Linked DNA regions of Oryctolagus cuniculus. The protein of the gene in region 1 interacts with the protein of each later gene in a biochemical or structural test. Links are inferred from orthologs where the notes say so. Each region holds a gene or a part of one and is shown on either strand. Other genes may lie near its edges.

Evidence for each region.
Region 2: the proteins of MYH9 (region 1) and S100P interact in a biophysical measurement, tested with the Homo sapiens proteins (2 studies listed by IntAct). The link is inferred for Oryctolagus cuniculus from reciprocal best matches to the Homo sapiens genes MYH9 and S100P.

What each region holds. Positions count from the first base shown.
Region 1 is NC_091442.1:113,575,079-113,578,721, forward strand, and holds part of MYH9 (myosin-9), read right to left. Parts: intron 3,206-3,643; coding exon 3,068-3,205; intron 2,740-3,067; coding exon 2,616-2,739; intron 1,726-2,615; coding exon 1,554-1,725; intron 468-1,553; coding exon 255-467; intron 1-254. UniProt on the Homo sapiens protein: Cellular myosin that appears to play a role in cytokinesis, cell shape, and specialized functions such as secretion and capping. Required for cortical actin clearance prior to oocyte exocytosis. Promotes cell motility in conjunction with S100A4.
Region 2 is NC_091433.1:3,378,823-3,382,565, forward strand, and holds S100P (protein S100-P), read right to left. Parts: upstream 2,605-3,743; 5' UTR 2,423-2,604; coding exon 2,285-2,422; intron 336-2,284; coding exon 186-335; 3' UTR 11-185; downstream 1-10.

The DNA.
Region 1 (3,643 bases):
AGCCCTTCCCGGCACAGCCCCCGTCTGCAGCTTCTCTCCCCACCGGCCCCCTGCTCGGCTACTACAGGCCCTTGTACAGGCTCAGAGCCCACCCTCGCTGCGCCCTCCAAAGCCACGCTCCCCGCAGATCTGCTAGGCAGAGGGCAACGGCCGAGGAAGGCCCGGCTCCGCGCTCTCTGGACGTGGTGAGCCGTGTGCAGCACTGCTCCGGGCCCCCCGCCCTCGTGGCCAGGCCAGGCGGCCCCAGGCCACACCTGAGCTCCTGCTGCGCAGCAGTGGAGTCCAGGGTGTCCTCCAACTCTGTCTTCAGCGCCTCCAGCTCCTCCCCGAGGTCCCGCTTCTGCTTCTCGGCCTTGTTCCTGGAGGCGCGCTCGGACTCCAGGTCCTCCTGGAGCTCGGAGATCTGAGATTCCAGCTCCCGGATCTTCTTGAGGGCCATGTTCTTCTGGGCAGCCTCTTCTTCCACTCTGCCAGAGAGACGCTGTCAGCCTGAGGCCGTGTCCCCTGCAGGGCTCCGCCCGCAGGAGAGGCCTTAGAGGGGCAGCGGGGCAGCCAGCGCTGTCTATGCAGGTACATCATGGCAGTTCAGTGGCTCTCAGCAGAAACATGAGGTATCCCAGACCCGGAACACCTCAGAGAAACCCCTTCACCTTCCAAATGACACACACACACACACACACACACACACACACAATGGGGCCAGCACTGTCCTGTGGTGCAGCAGGCTAAAGCCATGGCCTGCAGCACCAGTACCCCACAGGGGTGCTGGTTAGAGTCCTGGCTGCTCCAATCCTGACCCATTACTCCCTGCTAATGTTCCCGAGGGAGCAGAGGAAGATGACCCAGGTGCCTGGGCCTGTGTACCCGTGTGGGAGACCAGGAAGCAGCTCCTGGTGCTTGGCTCTGCCTGGCCCACCTCGGCCGTTGTGGCCATTAGGGAGTGAACCAGCAGATGGAAGACCTTTCTCTCTGCCTCTCCTTCTATGTCTGCCTGTCTCTCTCTCTCTCTCTTTCTCTGTTTAACGCTGGCTTTCAAGTAAATAAATTTTCAAAAAAATTAACTTTAAAATGTTACACGAAAAAGGAAATACTCTAAAAAGCTACAGTCCATCAGACGGCAACTAAGTGGCAGGCAATGAGCTGTGGGCTTTGCATGGTTTTGTCTCACTGAAGGTTCACCGAGTGTTGACATCGGCAGAGGCCGTGCGTGGGGGAGGCGGGCAGGGTTTAGATGGGAAGTCTGTATGTTCTGCTCAATCTTGCAATGAATCTAAAACTAGAAAAATCAAGTCTGCTTTTTTAAACAAATGTGTGCCTATAGCCAAGAATTTTTTTAAAAAGAAAGTATTGTGGGCGGGAGACAGAGCTGTGGGTGGTTCTGGATTACCAAGGAGAAAGCCGCCCAGCACCCCAGCACCCCAGCACCCCAGCCTGTGCCGCTGGTGCCTGAGAACTTCTGCAGCCGCAGCGGAGGGGACGCTCGCGCTCGCTGGCGCGGCGAGCCTGGGCAGGGCGTGCTCTGGCCGGCGGCCACGTGGGAGCCCGGGCCTCACCTGGCCAGCGCGGCCTGCAGCTCCTCCTCCTTCTTGGCCAGCTGCATCTTGAGCTCGGCGATCTGCGCCTGCAGCTCGGCGATCTGGTCGCTGAGGTCGGTGGAGTCTCCCTCCAGCTTCCGGCGCGTCTTCTCCAGCTCCTGCCGCTGCTTCTCCTCCCTGCGGAGGCGCTCTGGGGGTGGGGGTGGGGGGACCTCAGCGGCTGCAGCTCTTCTGTGTTCAACGACTTACACAGCCAGGGCCAGAGGCCTTCGCGACACACAGCCAGTCACACCTGACCCCTGGATGCGGGACAAGAGCGCTGCCACGTGCGGTCCGGTGCCTGCCGGGCCTGTCTGCTCTGCCCTGCGGGCACACCATAGCTTCCTTCTCCAGCCCACGGGGACAGGTGTGTGACTCTCAGTGCACAAGGCCGAGCGCCGGATGGCACTGCTGGGTCAGGGGCACGCAGCAGGTGGGGGGGGGGGGTGTGTTTCTGACTCATCTACAGCTTCCTTAACACTTGCTGGTGTCAAACGTCTGTCAACCTGGTGGTCCTGCCCTCCGGGACGCCTTGGAAGGCCAAGTCCTGCAGACTCCTCCCCGTCACACACACACACACACGAGGGGTTGGCAGGGCTGGGACACTAGGCTGGGGAGGACGCCGCCGGCCGGCAGCCCATATCCACCCCACGTTCACCAGCCGGGCGCGGGGCTCCTCCAGCTGTGTCAGGCTCTCTCCCTCCCCGAGCTGTCCACGCCTCTCAAGGGGCTGGGGGTCTCAGCCAGCCATAGGCCTTCTACCGAGGCCTCCTGACCGCCACAGTCCCCAGAACACAGGAAACGAGGCAGGGCCGGCGAGCCTGGCCCACATCCAACCACCATCTCCTGCGGTCTCCCCAGCAGCTCGAGTGCGGCACAGCGGGCGACACAAGGGTCTGCTCTGAACCACGATTCCTGGGAACCAGCCAGAGCAACCAGGTGCTGCCGCGTGCCCTGGCCATCTCGCGCCTCACGGCAGCAGCCGAGCGCTGGGTCACGGGAGCCAGGGCCCCCGGCAGGCGGCCCAGGCCACGCCCTCACCTTCCAGGTCTGTGATCATCGCCTCGTGCTTGTTCTTGAGCTTGGCCAGGCTCTTGGACTTCTCCTCCTCCTCCATGAGGTTGGTGGTGAACTCGGCTATCCTGTCTTCCAGCAGCTTCTTCTCCTGAGGGGCGGGGGCGGGCCAGGCTGAGCGGGAGCGCACAGGACGCCGCAGCCCTCCTCAGAGCGCAGCCGGCCCAGGAGCGCAGGAGCAGGCACAGGCGAGGCCTGGCTGCAGGAGCACGGGACCTGCCGCACGAAGCCACCAAGGCGCCCCGGCTCCGCAGGGGACAGATGCACAGTGCCACACGGAGGGCCTGACTCGTCTCAAAAGCCAGCGAAGAGCTCGACTGCGGGGCAACGGCGAAGCTCCCTGGGGCCGCTCATTCGGGGGAACCCCCCGTGTGGCTCCGGGAGGGGGCCGCCCGGGCAGCCACGCGCGCCTGGCCCACCTTGGCCAGCTTGCAGTTCTGGTCCTCCATGATGATCTGCTCCTCCTCCAGCTTCTTCAGCTTGGCCTCCGTGGTCACCTTCTCCAGCTGCAGCTTCTGCCGGGCGCTCTCCTCCTCCTCCAGCTGCTCCTCCAGTTCCTGCCGGGAGCCGGAGAGAGGGTGGGAACGGTGGCTCTGCGAGCCCGGCAGCTTGGCCGGGATGCAGCCCAGCCCTGCAGGAGGGGTCACGCATCTGAAGCTGGGGTGCCAGGCAAGACGCCCGCAGTACTGCTCTGGGGGTCCCCTTTAGCCAGCTTCCCACTGGGCAGAGCGTGGAGGACAGGGCTGCCGGCCCTCCACTCCCAGGTCCCAGAGCAAGGGCTGCAGGGAGGCAGAACGGCCTTTGCCATGCCGGGGAGGGCAGAGCGCAGGGAGAGCTGAGAGGCCCGGATGGAACAGCCAGCCCCTGGGGGAGGCCCGTCAGCTGTGCCCATGGGCAGCGCGGGCACGCAGACCCGGACTCCTGTCCTGAGTTGGTGGGGCCTGGCGGGGAGCCCGACTCCCGTCCCGAGTCAGGGCCTGGCGGGGACTCCTGCC
Region 2 (3,743 bases), on another chromosome or scaffold:
GGGACACGTGTGAGTATTCAGTACTGAGTTTATTTCATGAACGGGGGGGGGGGGGACTGAGGTTCCCGGGACAGAGTGGAGGATCGCGACCCGAACCTGCGTTAGTTACTCGGGCGGAGCAGCAGGTGCAGCCGGGCAGCAGTCGGCAGGACCCGCACACAGTGGCTGGGCCAGGCCTGCGGCCGTCACTTGGGCCCTGCCTGCACAAAGTACTTGTGACAGGCAGACGTGAGCGCAGCTACAAACACCACGAACTCGTTGAAGTCCACCTCGGCGTCCCCGTTGGCGTCCAGGTCCCTCATCATTTTGTCCACCGCATCCTTGTCCTTCCCGTTCTGGAAGAGAGGAGGGGCCGGCGATGCCGCCTCTGTGGCGCGGGGCCAGGAGAGGCGGTGCCCGCCCGCCCTAAGCTGTGAGAGGCCGTGCGCCGGCCGGTGCCCTTGTTCGCCGGAGCACGACTGCTGTGCCCAGAAGGGGACCCTCCGATTTCTGACGCGCTCTGCAGTGGTTTCCGGGAAGCGGTGCAGCTCCGCGCTCTGCGCACGGCTGCCTCGGGGGTGTGCGCTTGTGCCTGCAAACCCGTAATCCCCACAGCCACCAGGGAGGAGGATGCGCGGGACCTGACCCAGGTCACACGGGGAGAAGGGGACAGTGGGGTCGCGGCCCGGGTGAGGGGAGCACGCGGGTCCGGTTGTTGAAGAACAAGTGCACCATCGCCTGCAAGGGACCAGGTGCGCAGCAGCAGCAGCAGGGGGCGCCGCTGAGCTCAGCCGGCACCGGTCACAGCTGAACCCGGCGGAGGCCCAGCGTCTGCCCGACCCAGCCTGGGCACGAAGCGGCAGGCGGAGGCGGTAGCAGTGTGCCGCCCCCACCCCGTCCCGACGCTTCGTGGCTGTCAGCAGGGCTGTCCTTGACGTTCCTGGAGCTCAGTCCCCGCGCCTCTGTGCAGCTCCACCTCTGCTGGTGGCGCTGGGCTGCCCGCGGGAACAGGGCCCCCAGGCTCGTGAGCGCCCCTGGGCTGGACCCGGGGAGCAGGGCCCCCAGGCTCGTGAGCGCCCCTAGGCTGGACCCAGGGAGCAAGGCCCCAGGACTGAGCGCACAGCTTCCCGGCCGAGCCGTGGCCTTCTCTAGGCTCCCCAGGGGGCCCCGGTGCAAACCAAGTTTGAGAATTCCCTGGTTTTGCCTCGGTGCTCAAAGCGTGCCCCCACCCCCGCCCAAACCCGCAGTTACCCTCCCCCAGCCCCAATGTTTTGGATCAAAATCCCAGAGGGCTGGGATAGGCATCCCACAGGGGAAAACCTGGCGGCGGTACCTGGCTGAGCTCCCACTCCACCTGGATTAAGTTCCTGGCTCCTGGCTTTAGCCCAGCCCTAGCCATCGTGGGCATTTGGGGCGTGATCGCGCTCTCTCTCTTTCTCTCTCTCTCTCTCTCTCTCTCACACACACACACACACAAATACAAATCCTCACACTTGGTTTCTTAGTCCCAGCACAGGGTGAGTGCGCATGTTTACCCATCTGGAGAACAGAAACAATGCCCTAAGAGCCCAAGGTCACAAGCTAGGTCCCAAATCCAGGCTTCCACTGCATCAGCATCAGGACCCTCGGTGGCAGAGTCTGATGGGGCTGGGGGGGGGGGGAAGACGGAAGGGGAGGGCCCGGACTGTCTGCAACCTGCACATCCCATGTGGGCGCTGGTTCAATTCCCAGCTACTCCACTTCCCATCCAGCTCCCTGCTCATGTGCCTGGGAAAGCAGTGGAAGATGTCCTGAGTCCTTAGGCCCCTGCACCCGCATGGGAGACCCAGAGTTCCCGGCTCCTGGCTTTGGCCTGGCCCAGCTCCTGCCCTTGCAGCCATCTGGGGAGTGAACCAGCAAAGAGATTTCTGTCTTTGTGTCCCTCTGTTACTCCGCCTTTCAAGTAAATAAATGAGATGTGTGTGTGTGTGTGTGTGTGTGTAGGGGGAGGAGAGAATGGGGAGGCCAAGGAGGGCGGGGTCTCTGCTTGCACAGGACACTGGTCCCTCCAGGCCCTCCCCCAGCCCGACACCGAGCTACACGGCGACTGGGTGTGGCAGGGGCAGGGATGGCCCTGGCTTCCACTCTGCTCCCAGCCCCACTGCCCGTGTGTGGCTGTCCCTGTCCCTCTCCCTCCAGGCAAACCTGGGGTAGGGGCTTAACGCCAAGGATCCACCTGAATACCGCACTTAGGATCCCACCTACCTGCTCCCAAGCCCCTCAGCCCCTGCCGGGGTTTGGCTCCGCCCCTGCGGCCCCGCCTCACCTGCAGGAAGCCGGGGAGTTCCTTCTCCATCAGCACCCTGAGCTCCCCCTTGGTGAGGCTCTGCGGGTCGCCCTCGCCGCCCGCGTACCGGGCAAAGACGTCGATGATCATGCCCATGGCTGTCTCCAGCTCCGTCATGGTGCTGGGCTCCAGCCTCCTGCGGCTGCAGCTGCGGCTGCGGCTGCCAGTGCTTTTTGAAGCCGGCTCCTGCTGACACAAGGGGTGGGAAGCATCAACAGGCCCTGCCCCTCCCCACTGGGCAACCTCAGATGGTGATGTCCTCGTGCGCTCCAGGGCTGTCCTCCCCAGGTGGGGCTGCTGGGGCGGGTGGGAGCCCGGTGTTTACCGAGTGGGTAGTGACCGAATGGACCCGCCCTCGCCCGCGCAGGTGCTGCTGGGCAGACACAAGGAAGCACCAGTGGAAAGCGAGAGGTGGCAATGACAAAGTGACAGAGCCTGTGGGACGAGGCCAGGATGAGAGAGGGTTTACTAGAGGCACAGCTGCGGGGCTCAGAGCGGCGCTCGCGTCAGCCGGGGGCCGCGGGCTGCAGGTTCCTGGGAAAGGCCACAAGCACCCGTTCCTGTGGGCACACACCCTTGTGAGCCCTGTTATCTCAGCCTTTTATTGATAAGGGGTCAGTTTCTGCTCCGGCCACTTCCTGCTGGGGGCGGGGCTTGACGGGAGGGGTGAGCTGGTGCGGTGTTGCCATTCATTTCTCAACAGGTCAGAGGTATTCCATTGCTGTGGGCCATTTGAGTGGCTGACCAGAGCTAGTGGGGTACAAAACAGTAACGGATGTGGCTATGAGCAGTTCCTCAGGGTAGGATGATAGGGCAGGTGCGTCTGCTAACAAGGCGGAGTCTCGGTCTTGTGCAGCTGATTCTGATTGGCTGTCAGTTGCAGACTTGGTGTTTCTGGCTGGTACCCAAATGGGCTGTTCCGCATTTTCTGGAAAGACACAAGCATATCCTCGACCTTTGGTTAGCAGAAGCCTTTTTACAGGCGCTGGAGTCCAGGGCCTGGATTTTGCATACAGTTCAACGTGTGGGTGGCATAGGGTCTAGCAGCTGCCCTAAGAGCTTGGGGTGTCTGAGTACTGCCACAAATGTGGGGATCCTCACTGGGTGCGGATGGGATGACCTCACATGAGTTATTGTCTAGAGGGCCTCTTTGTTCATCCCACGGGTATGCGGGGGTGGCTGACTAGGCTTTGCTACCTTGTATGCTACATTGTTGTTTTCACTGTCCAGCTCTCTCTCCCTGAGTATCAACTGTTGTCTGTGAGACAGACGCCTGGAGTGTCAGGCTCTTATCACTCACAGATTCACTGTTTGGTAATCTGTGTGGGATTCTGAGAGGGGGGCATCTTTCCCATGTCTGAGCGCTTAAGAGCGGCACGGCACGCCAACTCCAGCCAAAGGAAAGACACGCACAGCACTGCTGCCATAACAAAGCAAA